2 linked regions of the Sus scrofa genome follow. The protein of the gene in region 1 interacts with the protein of each later gene in a biochemical or structural test. Links are inferred from orthologs where the notes say so. Each region holds a gene or a part of one and is shown in the gene's direction. Other genes may lie near its edges.

The links.
Region 2: the proteins of PKP4 (region 1) and PATJ interact in a test that uses a peptide from one of them, tested with the Homo sapiens proteins (2 studies listed by IntAct, with this or other methods). The link is inferred for Sus scrofa from reciprocal best matches to the Homo sapiens genes PKP4 and PATJ.

Annotation. Positions count from the first base shown.
Region 1 is NC_010457.5:65,674,493-65,680,119, forward strand, and holds part of PKP4 (plakophilin-4), read left to right. Parts: intron 1-1,705; coding exon 1,706-1,834; intron 1,835-3,530; coding exon 3,531-3,604; intron 3,605-5,388; coding exon 5,389-5,627. UniProt on the Homo sapiens protein: Plays a role as a regulator of Rho activity during cytokinesis. May play a role in junctional plaques.
Region 2 is NC_010448.4:150,601,595-150,608,016, reverse strand, and holds the start of PATJ (inaD-like protein), read left to right. Parts: upstream 1-2,451; 5' UTR 2,452-2,585; intron 2,586-6,422.

The DNA of each region.
Region 1 (5,627 bases):
TAATATCTTTTTTTAATTTGGCTTTAAATCTCCCATTCAGACATATAAATATTATCTGTTGTATTCAACTGTGCTCCTGCTGACAGTCTCATTTCTCATGTGAACAAATATGACCAGAAAGACCAACATATGCCTGGTGGTTCCTGCCATATAATTGGATGTCTTCACTTGTACCAGGAATCTTTTTTTTTTTTTAATGATTTTTATTTTTTTTCCATCATAACTGATTTACAGTGTTGGAATTTTTAGAAATTTTCTTTGCCTACTGCATATGGCTTATATTTATATCTTAGCTTTTAAATCATGAGACCTCTGCTTGGTTTCTGACATTGTTGGTAGGCTCCTAGGTATAGCCTGAGGTTGCCTTCTTTACACAAATGATCAGGATTCTTTAGGGACTTAGGAAGAAAGTGCTAGCGGAAGCAAGAGATTTAGCTGCTTAACAAAAGGCATATGGACAGGCAAAAAAATAATTTCAGACAAATTAGGACTTAGTTACTAAGCAGTGAACTTGTTTTGAGGACCTCTTAAATATACCTTTATATTTATCAGGAAGCCCTGTCCAAGTTCCTAGGACGCTCTCCAGATTCCACTGGAAGGCAGATATAATTCACATTTGTTTCTCCAGTTATTCTGAGGGCTGATCAAACGTCCCTCGGCACTAGTGAGGTATCCACCTATGGGCGCATCTCACTGCCTCGCTGATGTCATTGTGGGAGGCAGGTGGGGATATCCTGTGCCCTGCTACCTTCCTGAAAGTAAGCAGGATGGGAAGCACGTGGACACCACCCTTGTACGCTCACCCTATGTTACTGAAGTGACTTTCTTGGGGAAATATTTTGACATCAGTCTTCCTCTGAAAGCATCAATGCATGCAAATGCTGGTGACAGGGACTGGGGGCTGCTGCTTTCCAGTGGACTCAGTGATCACCCTTATTTATAATTAACTTCAGCACAAGCAAGATGATTTTCTAGTGAAAAAAGATGTGCAGTGTTTCCTTCTGTGCACAAATGTCCTACAGGCGACACATGGGTAAATAGGTTATTATTAAACGTTTGTCTCCAGCTGGGATAAAAAAGCTGGGCTTTTGTGAGGCTAGGCTTCTTAGCACCATGAGCTTCTTGATGACCAGGCTTATTGAATTTATAAATTTCCCTGACAGCTGATCGCCATAAAAAGAATTATAAATTTATGGGCTGGGCACTCTTATTCAAACTCATTTAGAGATGCAGATATTTTTGAAATCATCAGAAATCAAAACAAGCCATAAAACATCCATTTACTGAAGAACTATACGTAAAGGATAATAGATGGGTGTAACACAAGCAACTGAACTGAGATCATAAAGTTGCAAATGGAACTTGGGCACGACTGGGAATTACCATCCCTCAGTTTCAAAGGCTTAAGCAGGTCATTGAGACACCCCCCCCCCATCTCAGTGGAGAAATTGCACGATCCCTGCCCAATGTGGTGGCTGACAGTGCTGATCCTTGCAGTGGCCGACCTGCAGGTCACCTTCCAGGAACTGGGGCTGGCTGCCCTTTAATCACAGCACCTCTAAGAGTTGACTGTAGTGCCAGGCACGTGCACTTCTAATTACTTTGTTTTTCCAGAGAGGACTTTCTAGAGACACTGACAGTCTGATTTCTCTTTCTTCTCTCTTTCTCTCTCTCTCCCCCTCCCTCCTCTTGCCTCTCCCTTCAGTCGGCAGCACCTCTTCCTCACCAGCACTGTTAGGAATCAGAGACCCTCGCTCTGAATACGATAGGACCCAGCCACCTATGCAGTATTACAGTAGCCAAGGGGATGCCACTCATAGAGGCCTGTACCCTGGTAAGACGCCAGTTGGGTGTGTGATAGAGTATCTCGAAAAGCCGCGGGTCCCCAGGCACACGGCCAGTGGCCTGGGAGGTAACCTCTGCCTGCAATGAGATGGTCCCCCAGCAGCAAACACTGGTCCAGCCTCTCATCTTCTGCTTCAGGGGCTGTTGCCTTTTTGCTTGTTTTACTTGAAATAAGCTAAGGTGGTGGTCTGGTGACCACAAATAAAAAGAGCACTGTCTCCAAATGAGAAAGCATTTCTGGCTACGCAGCAGCGCTGGCCCTTTGTCCTGCCCCACCCTGCCCGAGCAGTCTTGCGCTGTGTGTTCCGGGGTCCCCGAACCCTGAGCTCTGTGACACCTGGCAGGGCCACATCTCCTGGACCAGCTCATAAATTCAAACCTGCGGATGGAGATCAATTCCATTTACATTCTCATGGGAAAGAGTTTGAATGAATAACAAAATATACAGTCTCCTCAGAGTGACTATTTTTTAAGAATAACAAAAGTGATGTTGTATAGCATTAATATTTTTATGTCCTATTCAGAAAGCCATGCATATTATTTAAAGAATGACAACCTGAAGGGTTACCAAGATTCATATTGTCTCCATTCTCAACTATCTTGCAAATTAGAACCACTTTAGAGGCTTCAAATAAGGCAGTGTGAGCTACCAAAAAAAAAGAAAACTCCTTTCTCAAAAAACCTATTTATTAAAAAGAAATAAATAAAAGCTGGTGGCAATTTAACAACTGCTGGGGGAGCAGTCTCAGTTGTGCTGTTGTCTTTGAAATTGTGATTTCACAGGACTGTTTACTAATCGACTATTGTTACTATGGCAATTAATAGCTCAGAAAATTGCAGATGCTACATTTCAGACATCAAGCTCTTTGCAGAGGAAATGCACAGACCAACCGAAGTGCATTGGTGCTTCAGGTCTGCAGCAGCCTGCTTTATTTTAAAGACCGCCTCCTTAGCATGCGCGCCCTTCTGTATCTTCTTTGCTTGCTTCAATAAACTAATTTGCCTCAAATATGTTTCATTTTCCTCATTAAAAAATAAAATAAAATCTCTGCTAGCCTTAACAATGCTAGAAGGGTAACCAGTGACAGCATCAGGAATCTGCCGTAGACTCCTAAAGACAGCTCTCTGATACCCAGGTTCTTTTTGTTTCAAAACATACTTAAACATGGCCTCCATGCGGCCACCCTGCTTGGAACACACCTGTGCCTGCTCCTTCCAGACCTGGGATTCTGAATCAAAGCTGTTCTAAAGGCCCGGAGCTTGTTCTGCTGTATTTCCCTCCCGCATCTGACCCAGTGCACTAGCTCAGAGCCCTGGAAAAGCCACGTTCCTCGGCTCAGGGGACAAGTCTGCTGTCAAGAGCCACCAGTTCAGTGCTCCCCACAGTGACCAGAGGTTGAGAAGGAACCCTTTGCGGATGAGCTATGCATTAGCATTGCTTTTTGGTAAAACACACAGCCTCTTTTTTTTTTTTTTTTTTTTTTTTTTTTTTGGCATATTCATCAGCCTTTACTGAATAGCCCTGGGGTAAGCAGCAGGCAGGCTTCATCCAGGGAACCCAAGCTGCTGACTGTCCGGGTCTGTGCTGGCAGCGGGGGAATCCAGGGCCTGTCAGGGAGTCCACACCACCTAATGGACCGCAGTAATGAGCACTAGTTTTAATTTCATAAAATATTTTCTTACAGGCTCCAGCAAACCTTCACCAATTTACATCAGTTCCTATTCCTCACCAGCAAGAGAACAAAATAGACGGCTACAGGTGAATTTGCAATGTCATTTTTACAGAAGGCCGATTAGCAGGGATGAACACAGTAAGGGGTCCGCGTGGGTTGACTCACCTGAGCTGGGCCGACACAGCAGGGGCCCAGGAGCTTTCCTGGGGATCTCTGCTCCTCGGAAGCTCATCCATGGTTTATGCAGATCACTTCCACAGTAGCCTCATGTCCTTGAGGAGGACTGAATTGGTACCACCATGCCCCTGACGGGCACCAACTGAGAAGTCTTACACTCCTATTCTTTGCCCAACAGTTTTCTTTTCCCTCTTTTTTTTTTTTTTTCTTTTTTTTTCTTCTTGTTACTCTCTAAGATCTCTTCCATCCTCTGGATGGGGAAAGGTTGGTAAGCACACCTCATTCTCTCATCTCATCCTTCTCTTTTTCACACGTACACCTCTTCCTCCATCTTCATGACTCCCTCCCATCCAAGCCACCATGGTTTGAATACACTTGAGGCCACAGCCAGATTTCTGGTATTCTCTGAGGTCAAAGTAGACTCAGGCCTGTGGGGATGAACCCCACCGTCCACCAGAGTGGGGACTAGTGGTGGTAACATTCAATCTCCACTTTCGGGGTCGGGGGGGCCTAAAATTCATTTTGGTCTTGCCTGATGCCATGTCCACCTAGGTCATTTGTTCTCTCCTCTTACCTTCCAGTAATACATGAGCAATTGGGGCTTCCCAAATGAACCTATATCCTGCTCTGCAGATGAGGATGCTCGTAACCTCCTTCCATTTTGTCGTCTTTGCTCTGTAAATAGAAGAACCTCTCCAGTTGTCATAATCTCTGCTGTAGTTTTTTAGTTAGGAGACGTAGCCTCAGAATCATAAGTCTAAGTTAAAAAAGCAAGTTTAGCTCTGATATGCTTATAATATTAGAAATGCACATAGTTCCAGAACATGGTATTGATATCTCTGTGATAAATTTGTTACATTTTAAGTTGGGGACTTGGGCTTGATTAAGAGGAGAGATAGGCATTCGAACCATTGCAGTTTTTCTCCAAACCTATTTGAAGAAATTCATGTGGGGTCAGCAATAAGACCAGACAAAAGGAAGTGGGGGCAGGGTGTGGATGCCCACATATTTCACCTTGCTTCCTTACAGATGGATTGTCTCTCAGCCCCAGCTTGGAGAAGTCTTTTCCTTTAGGATTTTATTTGCTCAAGTATCTCTTCTAATTATACTCCTCTCCTGCCTAGAGATTGCTTATTCCTTTAAAAGCACACTCCAGTTTCCAAAGTGTAACTGCTCTTCACCAAACTACATTTTTCTTCTAAAACAGAAGGATAGATTTGATTTTCATCTCTGAGGTAAAAGTTTTAAAAGATGGTTCAGCAATTATACAACCATCCAAAGCCCAAATATCCAGCCTTTCACTAAATTCATAATGTGCCACTGGTTCTCCTGTATCAAGGCAAAAATCAAGGGCACCCTTTCCTTGGGCATGCCCAGGACCTCCACAGCAGAACACAGAACTCTAGTGACAGAGAGGTAGCCAAGGGCTGTCTCAGCTTCTCCCAAGGCACTGACTTTTGAAGGCCATAAGATAGGACTTGAGCAAACTGCCAGCCCACCTGTAGACATAGTTTAAGACCCTTATATCCACTAGAAAACATACTGTGTGCGCCAGAAACAACTTTCAACCATAAATACACAAATACCAAATACTGCTTTAAAAATATGAAGCAGGAAGCCCATATTAATTTTTCCCTAAACATGTGCTTCCAAAAATTGCCTTGATTTATTTGCTCTTTCATTTTGTCAACAGCATCAACAGCTGTATTATAGTCAAGATGACTCCACCAGAAAGAACTTTGATGCATACAGATTGTATTTGCAGTCTCCTCATAGCTATGAAGATCCTTATTTTGATGACCGAGTTCACTTTCCAGCCTCTACTGATTATTCAACACAGTATGGACTGAAATCGACTACAAATTACATAGACTTTTATTCCACTAAACGACCTTCTTACAGAGCAGAACAGTACCCAGGGTCCCCGGACTC
Region 2 (6,422 bases), on another chromosome or scaffold:
AAACACACTAAAATATGGAGAAAATGAGATTAAAGGTGATTGAAATGGATGTTTTCTGGGAATGGTCATTAAGGCCCTGGGGGAAGGAGGGCTCATAGGGCATTCCAAACATGGGAAAGGGGCTGAGTAACCAACAGAAAGGTCATGGTGTGCTCGTGCCAGGACAGAGAATGGACCAGACCATTTGACCCGAGTATCTTGGAGATGTGAAATGGAAGAGTAGGTTGAAGAACAAGCAAGGAGAGTTTAGAGGGCCTTGAATACTAGGAACAGAAGTCTGAACTTTGTTTCACAATTAAAAGTTATTTTTTGAGAAAGGGGAAATATGTTCATAACCATCATCAAATGTCAAAGAAGAGTCCTAATGTTTGCAAGGTGATGCTTTAAGATAACTGGTCTCCACCTGCATATTACCCCTCTCCTCCCCCCATTTAGGGAGCATTTCCCCATCCAAATAAATCCCTTCTAAAGCAAACCCTAAACACCTCTTAAGACCTGTTTAAGTTCTAACCAATGCTTTCAACAGGCATAATTTTTTTTCTGAAAGTTCGGGCTTCATTCTATTTAGTATTTTTTTTTTTTTTCTTTTTTCTTTTTAGGGCTGCACCCACAGCATATGGATGTTCTGGGTGAGGGGTCAAATTGGAGCTACAGCTGCCAGCCTACGGCACAGCCACAGCAACAGGGATCCAAGCCACATGGGTGACCTACATGCATAGCTATGCTGGATGCTTAACCCACTGAGCAAGGCCAGGGATGGAACCCGCATCTTCATGGATTCCAGTCAGATTCTTTTTTTTTTTTGTCTTTTTGCTATTTCTTTGGGCCGCACCCGCGGCATATGGAGGTTCCCAGGCTAGGGGTCGAATCGGAGCTGTAGCCACCGGCCTACGCCAGAGCCACAGCAACATGGGATCCGAGCCGCATCTGCAACCTACACCACAGCTCACGGCAACGCCGGATCGTCAACCCACTGAGCAAGGGCAGGGACTGAACCCGAAACCTCATGGTTCCTAGTCGGATTCGTTAACCACTGCGCCACGATGGGAACTCCCCAGTCAGATTCTTAATGAGCTGAACCACAAGGGGAACTCATTTTTTTGATAAATTATTATATAAATTTATTTCCCTCAATAAGTTTGTTCATTCCTAAGAGGCAGAAACCGTGCTGAAATTGTGTATCTCTTACCAAGTCTAAGAGATATTTTCTTTAAAAAAACAAAACAAACCCCCTAAAAATAACAGTATAAGGTGTCAAGTGTATGATTTTACAACAAATGTCCTTTTTTTTTTTTTGTCTTTTTGCCTTTTTCTAGGGCCACTCCCCGCGGCATATGGAAGGTTCCCAGGCTAGAGGTCTAATTGGAACTGAAGCCACTGGCCTATGCCAGAGCCACAGTAACGCAGGATCCAAGCCGTGTCTGCGACCCACACCACAGCTCACCGCAACGCGGGATCCCCAACCCAATGGGCAAGGCCAAGGATCGAACCCGCAACCCCACGGTTCCTAGTCGGCTTCGTTAACCACTGCAGCACAATGGGAACTCCAACAAATGTCCTTATGTTGTAGTTGTTTTGTAGATATCATCTTCCTGAGGCCAGGTACCCCATAATAAACATTTTACAATGACAGGTGTTTTACAAATATTGGATTTATTTAATGAATACATACCTGAAGACTGATTCTGTTTATCGTTAATGTGCACACTGTAGCAGACAAAATAAAACGCCTATCGTCAAAACTCTAAACTTAAAGAGAGTGGAATAAAGCCACTGCAGGTTTTACAGTCTTTCTCAAAATCAAGTTTTGACATCAAGGATAAAGATGTTAAAACATATAATGAAGTCAACATTGTACTTAGAGTCAAACGATCCCGTCAGGGTCCCAAACTTTGGACAAATTACTTAACCTGTAGGGGCTCAGTTTCTTCCCAGTAAAAGAGGTAAGGTATAACCTAGCGCCTGGACTCTCGCGGGCAAATTCTGCTAGACTGGGTTCTTGCCTTTCCTCAACTGAGAAAAAAATACCCCCGCCCCCCCAGTTATATTTCTTAGAATTTTATGTTGGGTCAGCTGATACAGAAAACACAAAGAAGGGGTGACAAAACGGGGAAGGAAAGGGACAAAAAGAGCAAGCAGACTTGACCTAATCCTTTGATCAATGTCCTTTCATTTCCTAGATCTCGGGTCTTGCTCTCCGCCCAGCCCTCTTACAACACCTGTCCAGCCGGTTCACTCCACTACTCAGCTTTTCGTCTGCCCACGCGGCCCCCAGACCCTACCTTTTTCAGGCTCTTTAACTTTCTCTCACTCAGTAGAGCTTCACCTGCGGAAAGGAGAGAAGCCCACTGCTCCCGCCTTCCCCCCCTGGAGTCGGCCCCCGGCTCCCCCGCCCGCCCCTCCCGCGCCACCTCGGCGCCCCGCCCCGGAGGGGAGGGGAGGGGAGGGGAGGCGTGAGGGGGAGGGCCTGCCAGGTGAGGCGCGGTCGCCCTGGGCCACTCACTTCCGCCCAGGTGAGGGAGGGCCGACGCCGAGGCCGCCCGCTCGCCAGCTTCGGGGTCCCACCCGCGCCTCTGCCCGACCAGGTAAGGCGGGGGTGGGGGGCGGGCGCGCGCTGGGCGGCGGGGACCCTGCCCCTCGAGCCGGCCGGGGCCGCTCTCCTCGCGTCCGGAGCCGCCGCCTCTGCCCCGGCGCGCGCTCCTCCCGCCCTCCGGGAGGAGTGGGCACTGAGGACCGAGGGCGCCGCTGGGCGACCAGTCGGTCCCGCCGAGGGTGCGGGACGCCGTCCTTCTGCGTCTGGCCTGGTGACCCCACCGTGGGACCCGCCCCCTGGGTGCAGGGCTCGCCGGAGGCCGCGGAGCCATCCGGCTCCAGCAGGCCCTACCGGCCCTCCAATCTCGGCCTGAGTCTGTACCGGGAGTGGCCGGGATCAAATTTTGCACCCGGATCTGTGCCTGTGCTTCGCCCCCCGAGCTGGGTGGAGTCTTTCCCCACCTGGTGATGGTGAAAGGAGTGAACAGGTGGTGGCCTGCTCGGGGTCCCGGAGGAGGGGGTGCCCAGTCCCCAGATGAGGGGAGGCTTGGCCCCGGCCGCATCTGGGCGCCTGGTGGTCATTTAGAGGAGTTCCCAGAACGGCGGTCAGGCCTGGGCTTTGCTTATCCCACTTTATAGGTGGGGAGGACCAGGCAGAAAGTGCTCTGGCTCCAGCCTTTGGGGAAATTGCTGGGTTCCTGCTTTAAGTCAAGCTCAGGAAAGCATTTTCAAATCCTTCCCCCTTCCTCCAAAGCGTCGCAGCCCTTCTGGAGGCCGAATTACTCTCCCCCTGGAGTGCTCTCTTGGTAGTTTGTCATATCTCCAGATGGCTCTTATCACTTTGGATTGGAAGTAGTTGTTTACTGGTTTGCGCGATTGAGAGGGTGGCCTTTAAGGGCCTTACTTCTCTAGGCTGCTTTTCAGCTGTGTTCAGAATCTGGCCATTGGTAGGTGCGCAGTAAACCAGTGTTCTTTCTTTCTTTTTTTTTTTTTTTTTTTTTTTTTTTGCTATTTCTTGGGCCGCTTCCGCGGCATATGGAGATTCCCAGGCTAGGGGTCTAATCGGAGACCCGTAGCCACCAGTCAACGCCAGAGCCACAGCAACGCGGGATCCGAGCAGTGTCTGCAACCTACACCACAGCTCACGGCAACGCCGGATCGTTAACCCACTGAGCAAAAGCAGGGACCGAACCCGACTACCATGGTTCCTAGTCGGATTCGTCAACCACTGCGCCACGACGGGAACTCCAAACCAGTGTTTCCTAAGTGAATGAAGACCTAAGGAGAACCAAGACCTTCTGAAGACCTAAGAGGAAAAGAAATGTTACACTGAAGATGGTAATACCACTTCTAGGCCGTCTAAACTCCTATAGGTTGTCTGTCAATTTATTTGCCCACAACTTTTTAAAAGAAAAGCTAGGGAGGAGTAGAGGTAAAAATCTCAAGTTGGTTCGTTTTGCAGCGTCAGCAAAGGTGACTATTAGCTAAAATGAGCTTGAGTTTCCAGACGCCTAATGACATTTTAAGGATTGTTAAAAAATTCAAATAATTAGAATGTTTAATAACGGAGCTTAGGAGTTCCCGCTCTGGCACAGTGGGCTCTCCAGTGTCTTGAGAGCGCTGGGACACAGGTTAAATCCCCGATCCCCTGCCGGCACAAGCGGGTTAGGGATCTGGTGTTGCAGGAGCTGCTGCTTAGGTTGCAACTGCAGCTTGGATCTGACCCCTAGCTTGGGAACTCCGTATGTCGCAGGGTGGCCAAAAAAGAAAAGGAAATACAAAACATAAAAGAGCTGGAAGGTAATTTACTGATAGAATTTACAAACCGAATTCTGAAGAGGTTTGCTTTTGCTAATTGAGATCCTGCATCGGTTACATAACATGAACTTGGTATCAGAATGATATTTGTGTTTAAAGCTGTAAATAAATTGTGTTAAGGCCCCATTTGTGTTTAATGATGCTAAATAAATTCAAGTAATAATATTTTTATAACTATAAATCTGACATATTCATTGTGGGAAAATTGGGGAGAATTTTCAAAAAAGAAACTAACAGCACACAGAAACCCACCTACCATTGAAAATAACCACTAATAAAATTATAGTATGTCTTTCAGTTAGTATTCTTAAAAAAGAAAAATCTTTGTATTTTCTCATGGTGAGTTCACTTTTAGAACCTTATGATTCTGAGACAGTGGTTCAGCATTCACTAATTCTTGCAGTTGCATTTTTATTTAAATGCAATTAATAATTATCCTTAAACTAAACAACCAAGCAGTCTGAATTTCCTTGCTTTGTTAAACTTTAACAAAAATGCATTAGGTTGGGGAAGCTGAAGTGGGATTTACTAAGTTTTAAGATTTTGCTCACCTTGGTAGTAAACTGAGAAACAGGACTATTCCACCTTAATATTTGAGATCGTTTGGCCATTACTTTTCCCCCTGTATTCAGATATTTTTGCAGATTTGGATGCTCTTTTTAAAGCACTTGTTCTAGGTTCTGGTGCAAATGGAGAGAAATTTAGAGCCTGTCAGTACCCTTCGTAGTTGTGGGATAGATCTAGGCTGAAGATGGAGAGCCTGCTTGCTTATTTATTATTGGCCATGCTCTTGGCAAGTGGAAGTTTCTGGGCCAGGGATCGAACCCATGCCAGTGACCCAGGTTGTTGTAGTGACCATGCCGGATTTTTAACCAGCTGCACCACAGGGGAACTCCCGTCTGCTTACTTTTTGCATTTGTGCAACCATGTAGCCTGTGGAGTTTGGAGACAAGGAATTTGGTCCACCTACCACATAACTCTTGGCAAGTTACTTGACTCTGGTCCATTTGTAAATGATCTACCTCATTGAGTTTGGGAAAGGTGAAGTGAAAGAAATAATGTTCAAGAATGTGCCTTGTAGGAGTTCACGTGGTGGTGCAGTGGAAACGAATCCGACTAGGAACCATGAGGTTGTGGGTTCGATCCCTGGCCTCATTCAGTAGGTCAAGGATCCAACGTTGCCATGAGCTATGGTGTAGGTCACAGATGTGGCTCGGATCTGGAGTGGCTGTGGTGTAGGTTGGCAGCTGTAACTCCAATTAGACCCCTAGTCTGGGAATATCCATGAGTGCTGCCCTAAAAACCAAAAAAAAAAAAAAAAAAAAAGTGCCTTGTAAACTGTAAGCCATTCTCTTCCCATTTTTTGCTCCTTCAGTGAGATGTTTAATTCTGATAAAATTAAGGAGTTATCTGCTGAAAAAGTCTTGAATGATTGACTGGCCCTCCTCCCAAGGTGGAATTAATTTCATTCAGTAGTAGCAGCTATGCTGTCTTCCTGTTATTATCTTTTTCCAAGTGCTTTCCCCTTTCTTTCTTTCTTTTTTTTTGAAGTTTAAGAAATTTTCTGCATTTGCAAAGTAGAGATAATACATTGTTAAGAAGATAAATGAGATGTGATACAGAATGGTCCTGCAGTGTACACAGTAGGCACCAAAAAACTAGTTACTTGATTTGTGACAGATAACACAGATTTTGGGAAAAGGCCAGGAGAATGGGGAACATTGGTGGGAGGAGTGTCTAAAGCATGGTTTGGCCTGTTTTACAGTTTGTTAGGATTGTTTTGAATATGACAAGTATTGGCATGACTACATTTCTGGAGAGAAGTTAGGGGCACAGGTCTGCCATGTAGGGAGGATTGAACAGGAGACTGAGGTGGAAACTAGTCATTAGTGAGGAGTATGAATGCCTGGTTCATTTCAGTGAGTGACTGGCTACACATCAGAGCTCTTTTTTTTAAATTTAAATTTTATTTTTTTGCTTTTTAGGGCTGCACTGGCGGCATATGGAATGCTTTATCTTTCATAGTCCTTTCAACCCAACTAGTATCCATGAGGACATGGGTTCGATCCCTG